3 linked regions of the Lytechinus pictus genome follow. The protein of the gene in region 1 binds, or shares a complex with, the protein of each later gene. Links are inferred from orthologs where the notes say so. Each region holds a gene or a part of one and is shown in the gene's direction. Other genes may lie near its edges.

The links. The genes of interacting proteins can lie anywhere in the genome.
Region 2: mediator of RNA polymerase II transcription subunit 16-like (region 1) and mediator of RNA polymerase II transcription subunit 4-like share a complex: the UniProt entries of both Drosophila melanogaster proteins name them as parts of the mediator complex. The link is inferred for Lytechinus pictus from reciprocal best matches to the Drosophila melanogaster genes MED16 and MED4.
Region 3: mediator of RNA polymerase II transcription subunit 16-like (region 1) and mediator of RNA polymerase II transcription subunit 21-like share a complex: the UniProt entries of both Drosophila melanogaster proteins name them as parts of the mediator complex. The link is inferred for Lytechinus pictus from reciprocal best matches to the Drosophila melanogaster genes MED16 and MED21.

Annotation. Positions count from the first base shown.
Region 1 is NC_087257.1:27,439,937-27,446,763, reverse strand, and holds the start of mediator of RNA polymerase II transcription subunit 16-like, read left to right. Parts: upstream 1-2,648; 5' UTR 2,649-2,801; coding exon 2,802-2,851; intron 2,852-6,827. UniProt on the Drosophila melanogaster protein: Component of the Mediator complex, a coactivator involved in the regulated transcription of nearly all RNA polymerase II-dependent genes.
Region 2 is NC_087260.1:10,321,526-10,328,352, reverse strand, and holds the start of mediator of RNA polymerase II transcription subunit 4-like, read left to right. Parts: upstream 1-2,997; 5' UTR 2,998-3,020; coding exon 3,021-3,088; intron 3,089-4,221; coding exon 4,222-4,282; intron 4,283-6,625; coding exon 6,626-6,796; intron 6,797-6,827. Other genes in the region: eukaryotic translation initiation factor 4E type 2-like, read right to left, coding at 206-225. UniProt on the Drosophila melanogaster protein: Component of the Mediator complex, a coactivator involved in the regulated transcription of nearly all RNA polymerase II-dependent genes.
Region 3 is NC_087246.1:11,387,346-11,394,172, reverse strand, and holds the start of mediator of RNA polymerase II transcription subunit 21-like, read left to right. Parts: upstream 1-2,520; 5' UTR 2,521-2,582; coding exon 2,583-2,624; intron 2,625-4,698; coding exon 4,699-4,780; intron 4,781-6,402; coding exon 6,403-6,533; intron 6,534-6,827. UniProt on the Drosophila melanogaster protein: Component of the Mediator complex, a coactivator involved in the regulated transcription of nearly all RNA polymerase II-dependent genes.

The DNA of each region.
Region 1 (6,827 bases):
GGTTAAGGCTATCATAAACGTGATGATCAAGGGGAATGCCATGGCCTCCGCAGGAGTGATCATAGCCATGAACAGAGCAAAAGGAGTCAAATAGAGCATTCTCCTGTTCCTCAGGGGTCACCGGAGGGAGACGTTTTGGTTTGTCCCTGCTTCGGCATACGTTCTCCATGTGATGGAATCTATCACAGTGCCTGCATTTGTGTCCATAGGCATCACATTGTGTCTTACGGACGTGAGCAGGGGCACCCCGTCCATGTCCCTTCTTGCCACAGTAGTTACACAAGTCTTGGCCTTCCTTGAGGTGCATTTGCTTAATTGGTTTTCCGATATGAGCTGCTAGCGGAGTTTACGACGTGAGAGTCCAGGAGGGATGAAGCAGAACGCTTGCCAGCCTCCTTCGCCTCGATGAACTGGAAGACATCTTCTAACCCAGGACCAAAATCCAGCTGAAACCAATTAGAGCAAAACCAATTGAAACCAGTTGGCCAACTGGTTTCAATAGGGAAATTGGAACAACTGGAACCAATTGAAACCAGTTGCCAACTGGTTCCAGTTAAAACCAATTGGGCAACTGGAACCAGTTGGCAATTGGTTTCAATTGGTTCCAGTTGAAACCAATTAAGCAACCAGTTGGCAACTGGTTTCAATTGGTTCCAGTTGTTCCAATTTCCCTATTAAAACCAGTTGAATCCAATTGGAGGTAACTGGTTTCAATTGGTTCCAGTTGAAACCAATTGGAGGCAACTGGAACCAGTTGAAACTAATTGGTTTCCAACTGAATCCAATTGGAACTTCCAGTTGGAATGACTTAATTAGTTACAAATTAATTAGATTTTGCACTAACTATTGCTCATGCCAACAAAGAAGCAGTGCTCTATGTCTATAATACCATTGTTAAGTGCATTGATAAAATAGACTTTCATAATGTATGTATATAACAAGAAAGATCTTCAAATATATGTATTTGTATTTGATGTAATTTGGTAACAGTTAGTGATGTACTAATTATCTTATAATCTGTTTTAATTATAATATATAACATTTATGAACATGGTTTTCACTGCTAAGCATTCTAAACACTTATCTGAAACAAGTATGGTACTTGAAATAGAAAAGAATTAAATATATACATTTTAAATGATGATGAATCACATAAAACATTAATCTGTGCACACTGGCAGATAATATGCAAATTAACTGGTTTCATTGGAACCAGTTGGGTAACTGGAAAATTTCCAATTGGAAACCAATTGGAAGTCATTTCCACTGAGTTACCCAACTGGATCCAGTTAGGATTTCCAGTTACCCAACTGGTTCCAGTTAGGATTTCCAGTTACCCAACTGGTTCCAGTTAGAAATCATTTCCAGTTGGAAGTCATTTCCAGTTACCCAACTGGTTCCAGTTAGGATTTCCAGTTACCCAACTGGTTCCAGTTAGAAATCATTTCCCGTTGGAAGTCATTTCCAGTTACCCAACTGGTTCCAGTTAGGATTTCCAGTTGCCCAACGGGTTCCAGTTAGGATTTCCAGTTGCCCAACTGGTTTCAATTGGAAATTGTTATATTCCAGTTAAAACCAATTGAAACCAATTGAAACCAATTGAAACCAGTTGGAAATCCAACTGGTTTCAATTGGATTTTGGTCCTGGGAAGTCCATGGTCTGGTTCTTGTCCCCCAAGAGGTCGAGCTGATCGAATCTCGGGGTCAGCGATTCCCCTGGTCAGGGCATCCCGCAGTATCTCATCAGTGTAGTTGACATCCATAGAGCAACCAGGGCACTTAATGATGAACTTACAGATCCCTGCTTGACCACGTAAGCGGGCCCGAAGCTGCGGACTGTACTCATCCCGGTCCTGGCGCATGTTATGTAGCGCCACTCGAGCTACCATGGTGTTTTCCTCACGCACAGCGAGCCTCTTGATTGCCGCCAGCACCTCTGCTTCAGACTTGGTGGTGAGGCTGACGCCAGAGGATCTTGTATAAGGTCCTTGCGAAGAGGCTCATCGCAGCATTCAAGGAGTTGCACGACCTTGTCCTTAATTGCCAGATATCTTGGTAGACTCCACATAATCGGACCATCGAGAAGTGAAGTAAGCCCAGTCCTCGCTTGTACCGGCTGCAACTATGGTGGGCCTCTTGACCTTCTCTATCTTGGCAGCAGACCCTGTCCCAGCAGAGGCATGAATTGTGGAGTGGGTCGTGAGCAGGGCAGCAACAATAGAGGCATCCAGATCCGGCGTGGCGTAGTCGCAGCCTGGAATTGGGCAGCATACGGTAGGCATGGTGGTAGCTAGGCAGGTTTGAACACAAAAGCTGTGAACATAAATGGGTTCTTGTACCGTTTGTCTTTATCCAGTAGATGCTGAATCAGCAATGTTCACAGCTGTGGAAAGAGCAGAACAGTAAAGTTAGAAGTATAGGTTTTAGAATCCTCTAGTGGATGCAAAAAGAAAATAAGGAAAAAAGAAAATTAGAGGAGGAGTACATTACAATTCTATTTTTTGATATATGATTTATGTTTGTTCTTTTTTTTCATTATTATTATTGTTGTTGTTTTTTTTTTTTTTTTTTTGTTCTTCGGGGTGCATTGCGAATATTGAAAGAAATCAGAAAAACAATAAAAACTGCCTTGAACAAACAAAAAACGCGTCACTCTCAAGCGCCATCTACGTTGATGAATATTGAGTTGGTTGCAGCAGCCTGAATTTTGCAGTTTTGCCTAAAAGTGAATCAAAATTTGCGAACCTTTCAAATCAAGTGTTCCTTTTACAAATTAATGAGAAGCATTGGATACTGGGAAGATGGAGCTTGCATTTGTTGCTGACTGGCCGAAAACGGACGCTAATGTTTGGTGAGAGAACTTGTTCAATGTGTCCCATACGTTCATATTTGTGTCAGTGAATTAGATATTGAACATGTTATTGTTAATGTCATTTCTGTGACCCATACGTTCATATTTGTGTCAGTGAATTAGATATTGAACATGTTATTGTTAATGTTATGTTATGTTATGTTATGTTATACCTAGCCAGGCGGCTTCTAGAGAGTAAAAATCATTTACTAACGTAAGGTCACTCTCATGAAGCCAGGGCTTCCGTCATATACTTTTGTGTGTACCACCAAAAAACCTGAAACTTTCGCCCCCGAGATTTCTACTTTCTTTTTAAAAGATCTAGCCCTAAAATCTAAATCATGTACATGGGATAAAACTTTATTTCCGACATTTCTACGCTCTCGTTGTTATTTTTTAACAAGAATTCATCAAAAAAATGAGAGAAATATTGTGTAAAGACGAAAGAGACTTGCCCGATGTTTACGCCGCCATCTTGTTTTCTATTGTTCTTCCCCAACGTTACCCGAACGCACGCGTCTGTAACGTTGGCGAAAGTAAAGAAAGTAGAAATCTCGGGGGCGAAAGTTTCAGGTTTTTTGGTGGTACACACAAAAGTATATGACGGAAGCCCTGGCTTCATGAGAGTGACCTTACGTTAGTAAATGATTTCTACTCTCTAGAAGCCGCCTGGCTAGTTATACCGAGGTTGTTTTACCTGACTGCTAAGAAAGCACGAATGCCTATGTTAAAAGTAACTTCAGATTTGCCAACATTTAGCTATCACAGCCGGTTTGAAAGTACGACACTCTCGTATCTGTCACCGTGTTAAATTGGTGAGATCAATAACATAATTTCGACAAAACACTCAAACTTTTTTAAAAATAAGAATGGTAATAATGGTATGTAACTGTAAGGACTAGGCCTAAGGGAAATAAGTTTTAATTTTTTATGCCAGACGATTACATTTAAAACTATCACAGCTATCACAGCCGGTTCGAGAGTACGACACTCTCGTATCTGTCACCGTGTTAAATTGGTGAGATCAATAACATAATTTCGACAAACACTCAAACTTTTTTAAAAATAAGAATGGTATGTAACTGTAAGGACTAAGGAGTAAGGGAAATAAATTTTAATTTTTTATGCCAGACGATTACATTTAAAACTTACATCATGTGTCTTGACTCTTGAGTTTGACTTTGAGGTCCATTAATTTTACAGAGACGATCTTTTCACTCGTACATCCCAAAAAAGTCGCCATCTTGAAAATATTAAGTTTTGTGGGATCTTACTTCCGGGTTTTATTTTCTCCCTCATATCGTCGCTATTCGATGAAACATCAATTTTCTCTCTTTTCGAGCATGATTCCGAGTTCGAAAAGGTCTTTTGATGCTGAAAATATGAAATGGGTAAATGGATGAACAAAATTGTGTTTTAAAAGTGATTTTTTGTTTGCATAATTCATGAATATTATCAATTTTTGTTCGGCCTTTATCTTTTATTTCTCAGGTGACGTTTTCTTGATGCTGATGTATGAATTAGGGAAGGTTTTTTCTTTGGGCGATGGCCAAGCCTTGAAATAAGCACCTGAGAGCCGGGATCAATTTTTTTTTTTTAATTGCCCCCGGCTCACAGGCTTTTTACAGGAACCGGGGGCAATTTAGAAAAAATATATATAAAAGTGAACCACACCGCAAATTTGTTTATAGTAAGCGCAGCTCCTACAATTTTTTAATTAGTACATGAATAGCATGCTAAGTATTAGGCTTATTCAAACATTTAAGAAATCAGATTTAAATGTTTAAGTGTGTTTTGACACCCTCACTCCACATCCCCTTTACAACCACACACACATGGGCTTATTTATTTTTCATCTTTAATGAACCACGAACAATGAACCCCCCCCAAAAAAAAAAAAATATGAATAAAATGAAAATATAAAAAAGAGAGAGATGGAGAAAGAGAATTCAGATAAAAAAATAATAAATTTAGAAAAAAAATAATAATTTTTAAGGTTTTTTTCATGGTTAGAATCACGGGTGTGGGTGAGTGTGACTGTGAGGTGCACTTGGATTGCATATAAATTATGTTAAAGACATGAAGAAATTATATCAATATCTAACTCAGTCTATTCAAATTCCAGCACATAGCCACAGGCTATGTACATGTATTGTAGGTTCATGTACCTTAAGTTTTTCACAAGTTATTTGAAAACGCAGATCTCCACAGAAAATGCCTTTCATTCTGGGAGAGTCTAAATTCGGTGAAAATGTATTCATTAATAACTTAAATATTCATCACAATGAAGAAATCATAAAGTTTTTTGACAGTTTTCAAAAATTAACATGAAATCTAAACTGTATCTGAAACGGAAAATCACCATCACTTAGGCCATTACTGATAGAATTCTCACCCAGAGCTCTGGCAGAGAACATGAGCTCAAACTGGCTAGCTAACACCACACTCAAGTGCACAGCATCCTCCTCTTTTTTTTTTTAGATGGAGCCTTGTTTGATGATTTATTGTCTGATATTTACCTCTCTCCAAGAAAGAAATTAAAAAGCTACAATTCACAACTATAAGCTAAGTGATTTTGGATTATTAAGGCTCCGTTTTGACAAGCAAAGTCGGCGACTTTGAGGATAAAAGACTCGCACATCGTATGTGCTGTGAACAGGGATTTTAACGGATTTATCTCCTGTGCAATTGGAATTACTATATCGCAGAATTGTGATATCCCAACTGGAAATGTGTGCATTAGAAATTGCATATGGTGAAGTATGGAAAAACCGCTACCGGAAGCACGCGCGCACATGTATTACAGAAAAAAAAAGACGGACGTAGCTCACTTTTTATGGTACAGAAAAAAAGACGCACTTGGCAATTTAAACTGTGTTTATCGTAAATTGAAAGTTACTTGATTTTGGCTTTTAAGATATTTAAATTACATGTATGATATGGCTTCACTGCTCACTCACGGCGGGCGCAATTACCGGGAAAATATTTGCGCCCGGTCGTCAAAATTTTGATGATTTTGGGGCTTTATGGGCGCAATTGATGGCTTTATGAGCGCGAATTTGCACTCAGCGCCCGCTTATTTCAAGGCTTGGGGATGGTCATTTTCCGATTCAACAAATGTGTTGCATATTGCCCTCAAAGCTCAAAGGTCAAGTCCACCCCAGAAAAATGTTGATTTGAATAAATAGAGATAAATCAAACTAGCATAACGCTGAAACTTTCATCAAAATCGGACGAAAAATAAGAAAGTTATGACTGTTAAACTAAAGTTTCGCTTTTTTTTCACAAAACAGTGATATGCACATCTCAGTGACGTGCAAATGAGACGGTCGATGATGTTCCTCACTATTTCTTTTGTTTTCTATTTGAAATATATACAATATATAATTTGTTACAGATTTGACAATAAGGACCAACTTGACTGAACCATATAGTATTAGACAATGCTAATTCCACATGTTCGTGGAAGAATTAATCGTTGTTTCACTTTACAAAGAGGAGAAAATTAGATTATTTCATATTTCATATAATATAATACAAAAGAAATAGTGAGTGGATGATGTCATCAGTCTCCTCATTTGCATAAAGACCAGGATGCGCATATAACTCTTTTGTGAAATTAAGCGAAACCTTAAAATGTCCCCGTCATAACTTATTTATTTTATATCCGATATTGATAAAATTTTCAGTGTTATGCTTGTTGGATTTTTCTCTTTTTATTCAAATGAACTTTTTGTTGGGGTGGACTTGTCTTAAACGCAAGTCGATGTCGGACTAATGAGTCATAATTTTTCTAGAGTTTGAGCAGGGATGAACTGGCATTAATAATGACCCTTTTGAAAATTTTGTTTGATATAAATAATACGTACTTCTAATGAATAACAAATGTCACATTCAACTTGTGCAGTGAGGTTAAATGAATGGGTCAACCAGATCCACCCATGGGTGCACAGGAAAATTAAAGGCACGGCGCTGG
Region 2 (6,827 bases), on another chromosome or scaffold:
TGACTTGCTATGACATTTGTGAACAATTACTGGTGAGGGAATTCTCTCGAAGTCCGCTGGTGCGAAACTGCATTCGCGCCCAATAAATAGGCTAAATAAAACATAAAAATGAATAGGTGGGACTGGCATTTGAAACCAGCTGTAGAATATAACAGACGTTACATCCAAAATCATATAAACTGCACTAAATAATTAGTATTCTTACATGTCAAATTGGTTATTCATCTCTAGGTCCCCTTGTTGAGGTCTAAATGCAGATAATTCACGGTTGAAATCTCGTAATCTTCTGAATTCCAAGTCATACAGAATGATCCACGCACGTTCACGATATCGATATCGATAAGTATACTATCGGTTTTTTTGCCGGCGCGGCGGCCGGCGCGGCGCGGCCGCGCCGCCGGTCGGGGGCGCCGGGCAGGAGGGGGCCCAGCCAGCCGGGCCGGTGGGGGCTATAATTTTTAGGGTTTTTTTTATTATTATTGTTTACCGGAAGTGTTCACTGTTCAGAGAGGGTGGTTCGTCTAATTTGGGTACATTCATATCCAATTTATGTATAAATTTATACCAAAAATCAATGTGGACGCGACGGATCTAGACCTCTAGATCTACTAGGCCTAATAATAATAATAATAATAACAATGAAAGCAAGAGAGAGCTTTCCTTTAAAATGAACTGGCCCAGCTAGATTAGACTTCGAGATCATTCGATGCAATTAGATCGATAAATATACCCTTTTTTATTGATGAAATATACATGTATTTTTTAAAAATCAATCCCAATCCCATGTGATTTCTCAAGATGAACATTTTTAAGTAATTAAGTTTAAAAAAAAATCGTGTCTGATGTTATAAGCTTAAAAGGTAAGAGCAAATATCCCCGATCCCTCGTGGTGATCTATATCCGAAAAAAAGGTTATAATGACAAGAAAAAAAAATACAGATATTGAGTATGTTTCATTATATTTATGTGTCGTTATATGATTCATTGTCAAACAAAAAGAAATCAGGAAGAAAAATTCGCCTATAATCTGTTCTCAGCAACTGAATGCCACCAATACCAACAACATACCGAAAATGTGTAGGGCCTATACAAAATTATTATATCGTATAGACCATAATATGCAGCAACAACAAAAACATAAAAATGGTAAATAGAATTTAATTCTTTTCAGTGGTTTATTTCATTTCTATATCCATTTTTCAACACACAAATCAGAAATAGACCTTCATAAATACATAGGCCTATCAATTACATAAATAAATAAAAATCAATCATAAAAAAATGAGCTGACACTTGCTAATTGGCAATAACACTGCAAAAAATACAATAAATAAATATCAAAGATAGATAAAACATTTTCAAAAGTACATGTATGAATGTATGCTTAAAAACAAAGAAAAGAAATGTAAAAGAGACCAAGAAACGTGGCTTGTATAAATGCAAGAATAAAAAAAAGCAAAATCACCAAAAATATTAACATTGAAAAAAAATGTATTAATGAATCATACATAGGGCCAACGAGAGAGAGAAAAAACAACTGACAACAGGCGATTAAAAGCATGTTCATGCTAAATTAGCAATGGGGAAAAATAATCCTCACCACCTCACCACCGCTGATTAGGGAAAGTTCACCCTGACAAAAGTTGTAAAAATAGCAGAAATAATATAAAAAAAACATTGGTGAAGGTTTGAGGAAAAACCCTAAAAGAACTTTTTTTTAATTTACTAGAATTTCAATTTTTGGATTTGTGACGTCATACGCGAGCAGCTTCCACATATCGTATGGTAAAAAAGCAAACAAACAATGGAAATTCATTTTCTCATAAAATTGAAAATGGTTTTTATTGTACCTTCGATCAGTATAGGCCTATACCAATCAAAAAAAATATGTCACACCCACTCCTGAAAGAAATCAAACAATTAATGAGTCATCATGAACCACTGCAAATTTAAAATTTATGCATTTTATAATGGGGCAGCTGCTCATATATGACCCAAAAAAATAAAAAAAACTCTAATTAAATATTATAACTTTCTTAACCTTTGATGGATTTTCCTCAAACCTTCACCAATATTTTTATAATTTTTAGGGTGAACTTCCCCTTTAAACAATTTTCATGTTAATAGTTCATATTTCTTACGTTATGAATTTTGATTGAATCTCCTAGCCGGTCACCATTGTGAACTTATTTTTGCGTAGTTTTATATGAGGGAAAATAAATTCGGCTTAAATAGTCAAATTTGACTGAAAATCCGTAAAAAATCACCTAAAAAAGAAAAAAGAGTATATTATAGACCGGCTTGACCAGTGATGTACGAAGGGCCTATACAAATGGGGGGGGGGGGAGCCTTTTGTCAGACCAAGAGAAAAAGAAAGGAAAAAGAGCTGGGTGAAAGATATTATTTTCTGAATATTATGTCAAAATCTATCACAAATTTGGATTTATGTGAAAAGGTGTCAAAAATTTTGCTCGCTCGCTTCACTCGCTCGCAAAAAAAAAAAATTTCCCAATATGCCATATCTGGCCTTCTCAAAATTTTGGGTTCACGTCGCCACTGCATGGCCGGGCTTGACCTTGTATCACGAAAGAGCGTAAAGTATTATTATTATATAGTTTTGATGATAAATAACATTTATTCCGCACCTTGGATATCGCCTTCTTAAAAAAAAATGTAATATATGATTTAATGCATGGGCATGACGGGTCTTGAAAAGGGATCGAGGGGGCTCGGCTAATCATGCAAAAAAAAATGATAATAATTAAAAGAAAAAAAAAACCCAAAACAGATGGTGAAAAAATGGAGGATGAAGCTTCATCTAGTATTCTTTTTTGGTCTTCTTCTTTTGTTTTTATTTTTCTTTGAACTTTATTGAAAGATTGCCTTTCCCCCCGTGGTGGGGGCAAATCAAGGGGCAAATATATGTATTACATACGGTACATTTTCACTCACAAGTTTTTGCCAAATCTATAAAGTAGTCGAGCACCATCTACGTTCACTTCTGTCACGACGAAAGCAAGATGGCGGCTTCCATGACGGCAAAATCAAGACTTCTTTCTCTTGTGGAAGAAGCAGAAGTGTTAACAAAGTGAGATAAATTTGATTATACTGTGTATTTTTGGTGATGTGATGAATACATTTGATGAACGATTTTGGTTCTCTCTTACCTAACTCTTGTAATGACAACTTGGGCTTGGCCTTGTTCAGATGTTGAACGACTCTCGCCTCGCCCTCGGCCCTCGGCCAGCCCAAGCCAGGCAGCCGCGATTGGAGGAGGGAGCCAGCGGCAGCGCTACTACTTTGCTGGGGATTGATATACCATGAAGATGAGAGGAAAGGAAAGAAAAACAGAGCATTAGATTCTACGAGTAAAAGAGAAAGTGCACGAAATGAAATAGAAATGAATAATAACAGAAAAAGAGGAAAAGGGGTGAGAACCCAAGAAGAATAAAACAAAAGGGGCAATAGAAAAAGTAAAGTCAAAATGAAATGGGGAAGTAAGACTAGGCCTAGAGCAAAGAGGAGAGACAGAAAGAAAAAGAAACAATGGAAAGGAGGGATAAACGGTGGGAAAGAGGGATATTTTGTTGGCATACATCTCACTTTATTGCATGCTCATAAGTCGTACTCAGTCATAGACAGCTGGCAGCCGTCTGTTTTGAGGAGTTTTTTAACATTTTTTTTTTTTAAGTTCTCCTCATACACAGACGGCTCGCTAGCGTGCAGCCACCATTAGGGGACTTGCAATGCAAAATCCCCCCGTCGGGGCTCTTCAATTTTTGTCTTTAATCAATAAACATTTTGAAAATTAATGCGACCAAAATGCAAATTGATATTCCCTCTTGGCATTAATTGCCAAGAAACGGTGAAAAATCGAGTTAAAAGGAACAAAAACAGTGACTTACCTCGGCTGTCGCGCAAATTCACTTCCCCGTTTTATCCGATCTTAAGTACATAAACATATGGCCATTGAGTCCCCTGTACAGATCGCGCTAGAACTTCGGTCTCTGTATTTGGTGAGTGAAGCCAACGGAGTTCAGCTGAACAACCAACATAACAGAGACCGAAGCTTTTGGTCTAACTCAGTCATAGACCACAACATTACACTTACAGAACATACTGTATTTTTTTTCTTTCTAATACTGTCAGAATTGCAAACTTATCTGTAAAGGAGCTCTTGAAAAATATTAATTTGTGTTTTTGTTTTTGTTTTTTACACAGAGACCTCGGTGAGGCGACATCAGCAGTTAGGCAAAGAGTTCCTCATCCTGATGAACCTCAAGTAAGTTCTTCTTAATGACTGTGTGACATTAAGCTAAGAATTGAAAAACAAAGCAAAATCTAACAAAACAAAAATAATGGATCAACAGAAAATTCTAATTATTGTTTTTTTGTTGTTGTTGTGTCAATATACTTTATAGTGTAAATATCATATTTTCAGTGTGTATTTTAACTTGGCCCCTTTTTATAAGCTATGCCTTTTCCTGGGTCACCAAACCATCATTTTATGGATGTATGTTTTGGTATTTGTATCGATATGCAAGGCTCGACATTAGCGGTGGCCCGGTGGCCCAGGGCCACCAAAAATTCACCTCGGGCAACCATTATTGATAAAATGTTAAGTTTTGGTGGCCCGAATCGGGCAACCAATAATTTTCAAAGTAGCGCAATTTTTCTCCCAATTTTGCACGCATTTATCAACTTTCTACAGCTCAAATTGCAAGCCAGTTCGTCATGCGCCCTTTTTGTTGATCTACACACAAATACACACACACAAAGTTTGCATATTAGGCCTACAGCTATAGCATACAGCAGCTATTATCCAGCCAACCGCGCCGGCCGGCTGGCGTGAGCTTTGCATGAAGCCACTGAATACAGCTGTGCTCTAGATCTAGCTCAGCCTACTCAGATTCGGGGAGCTGCGATAAAAAATGTTGCTGCTGAGAAATCTTCCACAGAACTTTGAAAATCTCAGTCAAAGTCACATTTTACACCAATGAAATGCAATTCTACAGTCTATATTACGAAAATCTGGTGTACCCTGATTATTTGCAAGTATTAAGAAGAGGAATTATGACCTCTCTTTTGACTCAAAAAGACCGATTTCCACATGAATTAATACACATAAAAACACATCACAGTCCCACATGTGCATTTGTATGTATGTTGATACTTGGTTTCTTTCGAAGCTGTGTATTTTCTAGCCAAAAACAAACAGACAGTTTCTTTCTTTCTTGTTTATAAATGACTTCTTAAACCACTCTTGAGAAAGTAAATACTTTGGGAAGGCATTTCATTGATATGAAATGTGATTTTTTTTCCAACATTTTGGCAAATATAGGGAAGGACTTTTTTCACACTTTTTATCCAGAATCACCAGATATAATTTTTGCCGTTTTCTTATTTTTTTCCTTTCATTTTTTTTGACAGTGGTTAAACCATTTATACCCCTTCCCATTGAATATGCCTGATTAAAAAATATGTTTCTACTGAAAATAAAATAATACAAACTAAAGGATATAAAAATAAAAATGTGCCATTCCCAAAAAGTAAGTGAAAATTATTTGCTTGGCTTTTAATAATTATATTCCAGTCAGAATAGACTGTTGCCACAGCTGTTAAAAAATATATGTAATGGCTTCTTAATTTTCCCCTTTTCCCCATTTTTTTATTAACTTTGTTTTATTAATTTTTCTTTCATTTTCTTTTCTTTTTTCTCTCTAATTTTTTTCTTTTCTTTTTTTTCTTTTTTTCCCTGTTCTTTGTTTTTTTCTTTCTTCATTTTCTTTCTTTTGTTTTATTTCACTAATTTCTTTTATTATTTTTGTTTTCTTTTTGTAATATACTTTTTGAAAATTATTTTCGTTTGTTTCCCCCTTTTATGCATTGTTCTAATTTTGCAGCATATTTTTCTGTGATTTTCTCCTTCTATAATATGCTGCTAAAGAGAAAACAGAAATAAACTGGATTTGGGGCATAATCTAGGTTTTAGGATTCAAAGAGGAAGGAAGGAAAAACCATTGTTTTGTACATCTATCTGAATTTGCTATGCACTACTTATTTACTTTACCATTATCTCTATACAGAGATTTTTAAAAAAGTCCACACAACCTGCGAACAATACAATTCATTTATTCTCTTTCAATCATTTCATTTTTACAACGATAGAAACATTTATCAATTAGCAAAGTAAAATAACAGCAAACAAGGTTTACATACAAGATGTATAAAGTAAAAGTAACATAGTGGTAGTGGTAGTGGCTGCATGAGAATTAATATTTCAGAAGTTTGTTTTATTCATTTTTAATGTTTTTCTTTATATTTTTCGGGCCACCAAACTTTAATATCGGGCCACCAAAAAAAATTATTTGATGGTTTTGGTGGCCCGAACGGGCCACCACCAAAAAAAGTTAATGTGGAGCCTTGCGATATGCAATATGTCTGATGATGATTAATTTTATGTATCTCTGCAATTGTATTATAACTGATGATGGTTAGATAAATTAATTGAATTTTAAAAAATGAATTGAAAATTGTTTAGTAGGTTAAATTTTTTGAGTAGCAATTTTTTTTTTAATTGGAAATTTGATTTGTCATGTGTTTTGTCTTTATCTTTAATCTACAGATTATGGAGATATTGATGAAGAAGAATGAAGAGCTGGAAGCAACGCTGAAAGAGACGGAAGAACAGAGGAAGATGAAGCAGGAGATTGAGGGGCTTCAGGAAGAAGTAGACAAGAGAGATGAAGATATCAAAACATTACAGAAACAACTCAAAGAAGCCGAGTACATTCTGGTAAAAATTACATCACTGATTTGTTGATTTA
Region 3 (6,827 bases), on another chromosome or scaffold:
TTTCATTTTTTTTGTCACATACCTACAAATAGGCCTAAATTATCTGCAAACATATTTTATTCGTCTGTTAAAATAAACAAAATATTTGTAAATGATGTGATATCTCACAAAATTGTATAAAATTTGATTTAAAAGCAAGCTTACGAATTGTATTTGTTTATCATAAATTTGATAAACACCCCGCTTATACTAACTAGTTGTGTGAGTGCTTTCGTGAAATCGGCCCCAGGGGCCCGTTTCTCAACACCTGGACAAGTTAGTCATATCTTTATCCACCAACCACGGAGTTAGTTCCAATCTTACTAAACCTGTTTCACGAAAGGCTTCCTAACTAGAATACCGTGATATCGATACTATCGGTAAAAACAGCAGACGAGACGTAGCCTTAGTCACAAAATATCATAATTTGCAAAAAGAAAAATTATGACAAAATTGCAAATATTGTGATAAATTGGGAAATACATCTTTTCAAAATAATAGCACATGTAAATTATGCATCATACATACTTAGACCATGAAGATTGGAGCATTCAATTGCTGAGAAAATTAAATTATGAATAGTTTATTTCATGACTAGAAAATCACATGTGGACGTTGAGATGGGTACCCCCGTGACATCGAATTTTAATAGTTTACGAAAGTAAACCATAACGGTTTTCTTTTTAAAATGATGATAATTATACGCCCTTCTACGATTCCAAACATCATCAAAATATAGTTTAACAAAATCAAAAATAAATATTTGATACCGAAACATACGATTTGACAATTTCTATGCATAAATTAGAGATAGAATTTATCCAAATGTTAATAGGGGTCTGAAAACAACAAATACGAGTCCAGTTATGGATGGCCTGACGTGGTAGAATCTTTATCGATTAAATCATTTTACTATTTCAAAGTGAATGGTTTTGTGGCGTTTTACCAACAGTTTTTATAGTTTCTTTGTATTAGAATTATCATTGAATGCATTATCCCACTTGTTTTATGATGTAATTTCAACCTCTATGATTGATTACGTAAGATTATTATTTTCAAATTTCTAGGCACTTTTGCATGTCATAGTCTACCCATGTGTAGACCAAAAGCTTCAGTCTCTGTATTTTGGTTGTTCCGCTGAACTACGTTGGCTCCACTCACAAAGCTTCAGTCTCTGTATTTTGGTTGTTCCGCTGAACTACGTTGGCTCCACTCACCATACATAGACTGAAGGGGATGGGGCCCCGTACCTACAGCCAACGTATAGTGAACTAGCGTTTTATAGATCGCGATTTAAAACTGTTTTTTAAGCAAAATTGAAAGTTTCATGGTTTCCATTATCAGGTAAATATAAATAACTTAAGTAATTGCATACCTTGGGCCGGAGTTATTGAAAAAAAATCCTCTGGATGATTGAGAAATATGTCATCTAAGACATTTTCACCTGACTTGACGGTTTTTCTTGCAAGTTGCCATCTTGAATGACGTCATTATCGTTATTAACTTAATGTCTCGAATCGATATATCGCGATTATAACTAGTACTAGTATCGTTTATCTTCGGTTTCGTTCGCATATGGAGCAGATCGTATAATAATTAATATCGAAAGCAATATCGATATCACATTCGTGATTGTTGACGTTCGTTTGTAAATATTTTATAGTTTGGCTGCCATTTTGACCATTTTTATCGTGTTCAACCCAATTAAACATCGGTAAAGTATATTTTTCATGCCTTTTTCATCTATATCGTTTAAAGTATTTAAACATTGAGATATAAAGCTTTAAAAGTTTGTTGTTTATACATCCTTAGATTGTAAATTCGATGTGTAAAATTACATCAAACTTTGGACTGTGAATTGACAAAAGGGAGGGAATGAGAACACATGCGAGCCCACACGTACACCCTACCGTCGGTAAATGGGGATTACAGTAAAATGTCAGAAATTGTTGAATAAATCCCCAGAAACGACGGTTATTCGTCTAACCCATGTGATGCTGCCACTACGTCATTAAGAAATAAGTTATGACAGGTTCGGAGGTGTCATAAATATTTAGTGAGGTTGTTGTACCTGATCTTGGTAAAGAGGGCTTCGTGAAACGGTTAGCGGACAAGTAGCTCACTATCTCCGATTTAGTCAAGAAGTTAGACTTATGACGGTGTTGAGAAACGGGCCCCAGGCCCCTGACGTCGCGTCGAGCGCGAGCGAGAGGATACGGAAAAAAACAAATCACACCCCCCAAGTTTCGGGCGATGCCTTCAATGCATTTTCGACAATATCGTACTTACCTCCCCGGTGTGCGATAAGCTTCGCGTTAATCTTTGATTTCTTCTTCGAATGAATCAATGTCGGATATCTGAACAACACAGATGATACAACAATATATCCACCTATTATAGACAAAGGTATGGCGTATGCAAGAGTACTCATTTTGGACAGATCTCAACTTCTTCCTCCTAATGTCTACTTTGATTTGGGAAACTCGCCGTGACTTTGCAAATCATCAATCTCCTTAGCTTTAATTTTTGCATTTGATCATAAATTTTGACAGTGCGCCATCTACTGTTAAGCTTGCTACAGCTGAGAAAACAATAAATTGGCGATGGCAGACCGTGTCACACAACTTCAAGACGCTGTAAATCAGGTAATATTATTTGCTACTGATGCATATTATAATTTGATTAATTGTGAAATTGTTTGAATTACAAAAAAGTGGTTTGATAGCAAATGGTAATCTGTCAAGATTGTAATAATACTAAGTTTCTCAATCAAAATATATGCCGGCCCCACGTATTCGTATTTGTGATGTTTTTTTTAAAGCCAGGAAGGGTCACACTCACAGGGTGGCCACATCCCATGTCTAGTCTGCTGGGCAAACCCTTCGCTCGAGTTAAGGGTCTGAATGTGCAGCCTACTCATGCCTTGTGTACTGAAGGCTCTCTCGCGAACAGCAAGTTTTGTATGTGCTAGTCTTTGCGTGGAGGCACACTTGTTGATCAAAGTTCCAATGAGGGTCTGTGCCTGCAGACTATCCCATGACATGTCTGCGCACTCACACGTATTGCGAGGTTAGTATGCTATATACAGTACTAACCTCGCACTACGAACGTGTTTACGCAATGGATTTTAGAGTTTGTCGGTTAACATCGCTTCATAACCTTGTTCATTGAATGAGTGTCATATCATAACGTGAATAATGTTCAACATTGACTTTGTTAGCCGAAACTTATTCCGCTGACTCACCAGGGGCACTCACACGTATTGCGAGGTTAGTGCTATACAAACCTCGCACCACGTACGTGTTTACAGTATGGATTTTAGAGTTGTCGGTTAACATCGCTTCATAACGCGAAGAATAAAATGTTCAATTTTACGAATTTTATTAATGGAAAAAGCATGCAAAAAAAGAGCAAAATCGCTTACCTCGGCCTGGAAAGTTGCTTCACATGTCTCTTCGACGGAAATAAAAGGAAGGTCATTGGTGGTGCTAATACAATTCACAACCTTAATTCAGATTGTCGGTATTTTTTAAACTAGATTTGTATTCATTGTATGCGCAATTCCAATGATTGTTTGATAAAATAGAGACACCAATAAATGCAATTACAGTACTTAAAAAACATACTTTTTATAATATTTGCTGACGATAATACTTTTTTATTTTTTTTCAAGCATCGATAATACTTTTTGGAAAATATTCAAAGCGATGACAAATTAAACAAAAAATATAGAAAATTCTATGTACCTTAAGTGCTACCGTTCATTTGTCAATTAACGTTCCCCCAAAGTCTTTACAGTAAAAAGATTGGACACTTTGCCGACTTCGCGTAACGCTTTGCATCAATTTACGTGTAAAATGGTTTTTGTGCCTAGTCTTTCCCTTGTGGTGTCTTTGATATGAAGATAAATCGCGCGCCCTCTTTAGCTCATTATACAAAAAATTTGGGAGATGGTAGCAGGGTCCGTATTTTGCCAACAAGAAGAAAAATCAACGCTTAAATGACGCAATTTGAGGGATATTCATCATATTAGGGGGAATTGACTTGACATCGTTCGGAAAGTTTCTTATAAGTACTTAGTTTTACAATTTTTTGGGGGAAATTCGCGGGAGTTTGATTCAATTTTGCATGCGCTGTTCCTTCAATTTTCCTGTAGACGGCGGCAATAATGCACCCATGGGTGCACCAGGGCGTTTTCGGCATTAAAATTCTAACCCAGGCAGGGACTGGTCCGTGTAACTGTAATATTAGTTAGCGGGTACTCTCCAAAATGGGGTAGAATGGGGTCGCAATAGCGCCCCAAATAAAAGGGGAAAACATAAATAATGCACTTACCTAGATTATAATATATGGATGAAGGTCTATCGTGTCACAGAATCCTGACATCGAGGCATAAACTGGACCCTCAAAAAAAGGAAAAGTTCTGTCACGTTCGTTCTCCTTCTTTCAAAATTGAAAACAAAATGGCCGATCGAGAACGAACGCGACATGGAGGTCTAACTTTTCCTTTTCTTGTCCTCACCTGCTTCAATTTTGGAGGCCTCAATATGTTTTTTTATTTTTCATTATAAAAACGGGATAAAAAATATAAAAAAATAAAACTAAAAAAATCCCCAAATCCTTTTGGAAAACATTCAGAAACAGTTCCTTTTGCAACACCCCCTCTCTCTCTCTCCATATTCCTCTGTCCATCTGTCTAATATCTCTTGTTAATTTCAGCTTGCTGAGCACATGTGCAATAGCATTGGTGTACTCCAACAGAGTGCTCAGCCGTCCAAGTTCCCTGGGTGTGAGAAACAAGGTACGTATGTCCATGAATGTCATGAAGATTACAGCTCTCTATTTTGACTAAAGGAAGAAAGTAATGTTTTTAGTGCGTTCACATTTTACAAATGTATTTTCACAGAAACACAATGATAATGCTATGAAGCCTACAGTATGCACACAGTGGCAAACTGCCAATTGACTGTGTTCAACGTACATGTATAGCCCTGCTCTACAGAGCAATTCAGAGACCACTGATTGATTCATCCCGCAGATCACATAATGACCACGTGTTCACCACAATTATTTGTTCAATAGGTGTGCGAATGTATCAATAGCGATAACGTTATCAGGCCACCTTTTCTGCACATGATATGATTATTTAATTTTTATTCAGCAATTTCATGGATATTCATGCAACGCTCGCAAACCCGGAACTCAATTGACTCCGTATACATTGTGATAGATTCTGTGAACACTAGCGAATAAAATGAAACACCAACGCTATTGGGTAAAATTTTGACAGAAAAGCAAGAAGGTAATTGAAATATGCTATAGGCCTACCTGTGCTGTATCTGTTTGAAAACAGATTCTCAAAAATATCTCTCACAATTCCAAAATTCATATGAAATATAGGAAAGTGTCAAAATTCTATGTCGATACGAGGTGATAAAGAATTGAAGTCTTGTTTTGATAGAATGCTGTGCTAGGTACTGGGAGGTTTGTACTGCGCATGCTTACTATAATGTCATTCATAAATTAGCTGGTGATAGTGGCTGGATGATGTCACGTAATATAAGCAAAAATGTAGTCACTCGCTGAGACAAATGCTATGCTATCCATTTGGTGCAGTTTGCCACTGTGATGCATGTTGTGTCAATGTAAATTTCAGACATTTTTTGCTGTTTACAGGATATTGCACCTTTAGTACTTGCTTCCTTTTGTCAGAGTAGAGCAAAATTGCTACCAAAGTTGTTGTGACAGCAATTATTTTGAAATATAATAACGATAAAAATATTTTAAAGGTTTTTAGTGTAGGCCTAGCTCTGGTATTGACAGAAATTGATCTCTTAAGTGCCTTACAAAATCATGTACAAATAGTTATAAAACATAATTTTAGTACAAGTGCAAGAATCTGTATTTTTTTTTATATGATCCTTTTGTAAACACACACATTTTTGCCATTGGCTGCCATATGTGTAATTGTTCTAATAAATAAACCATGAATATATGAAGTTTTCTTTGAAAGTAGTAGATTTTTATGATTTTGGCAAGTGAATATATGGTGTGGTACTGCCAAATGTTAAGTATCCTGTCAATTTTAAAATATTTAGTAAGTGCTTTTAAAACTGTTTTATAAAATGGGATAGGCCTATCTGATTTCACTACCACAAATGCTTGGCAATGTTCTAGTGGATTTATGGTTTTTTTTCACAATGACTATTAATCATCCTACGGGCCTTATTTTGTAAGAAGTACAGTATCTGTCACTAAAATACATATATTCTTATTTTTAGTTAATTAGAATAAAGTAACAAAAGACCAATTAATAGGGCATTGAGGCTGGTCAAAAGGTCATTCATGTCCATGGCATTGGATGACCTTTGATTCATTTAATCCCTGCAGTGATTTAAATTCTAATCTGCCTTTAACCCTTAGCCTCTCAAGAACAGCAGCCTAATCATGAGGATTACACTCAGCTCTTTGCTCAACTGATTGCCAGGACAGCCAAGGACATAGATGTACTGATAGATTCTCTACCAAGTGAAGAATCTACTGTTGAACTTCAGGTAATACTTTTATACAATTAACATTTCTATAGCATGGTAAACAGGTGAATTTGAATTAGTCAAATTTGTTGGGCCACAGAAATGTATTCAGCAAAATTTGATTTAGGAAAAAATAAATAGCACATGCTTTGCATACTATGGTCTGAAAAATTACTATGACTTGTGTAATCTTTCGACTCATTATAATTATGTGGAAGAAAAGAGTCACTGGTACACTGGTCCATAATGAAAAAGGAGAAAACAGTTTTGGTTGTGATTTTTTTTTAATTTCTAATAAACACTATCGAGTATCTG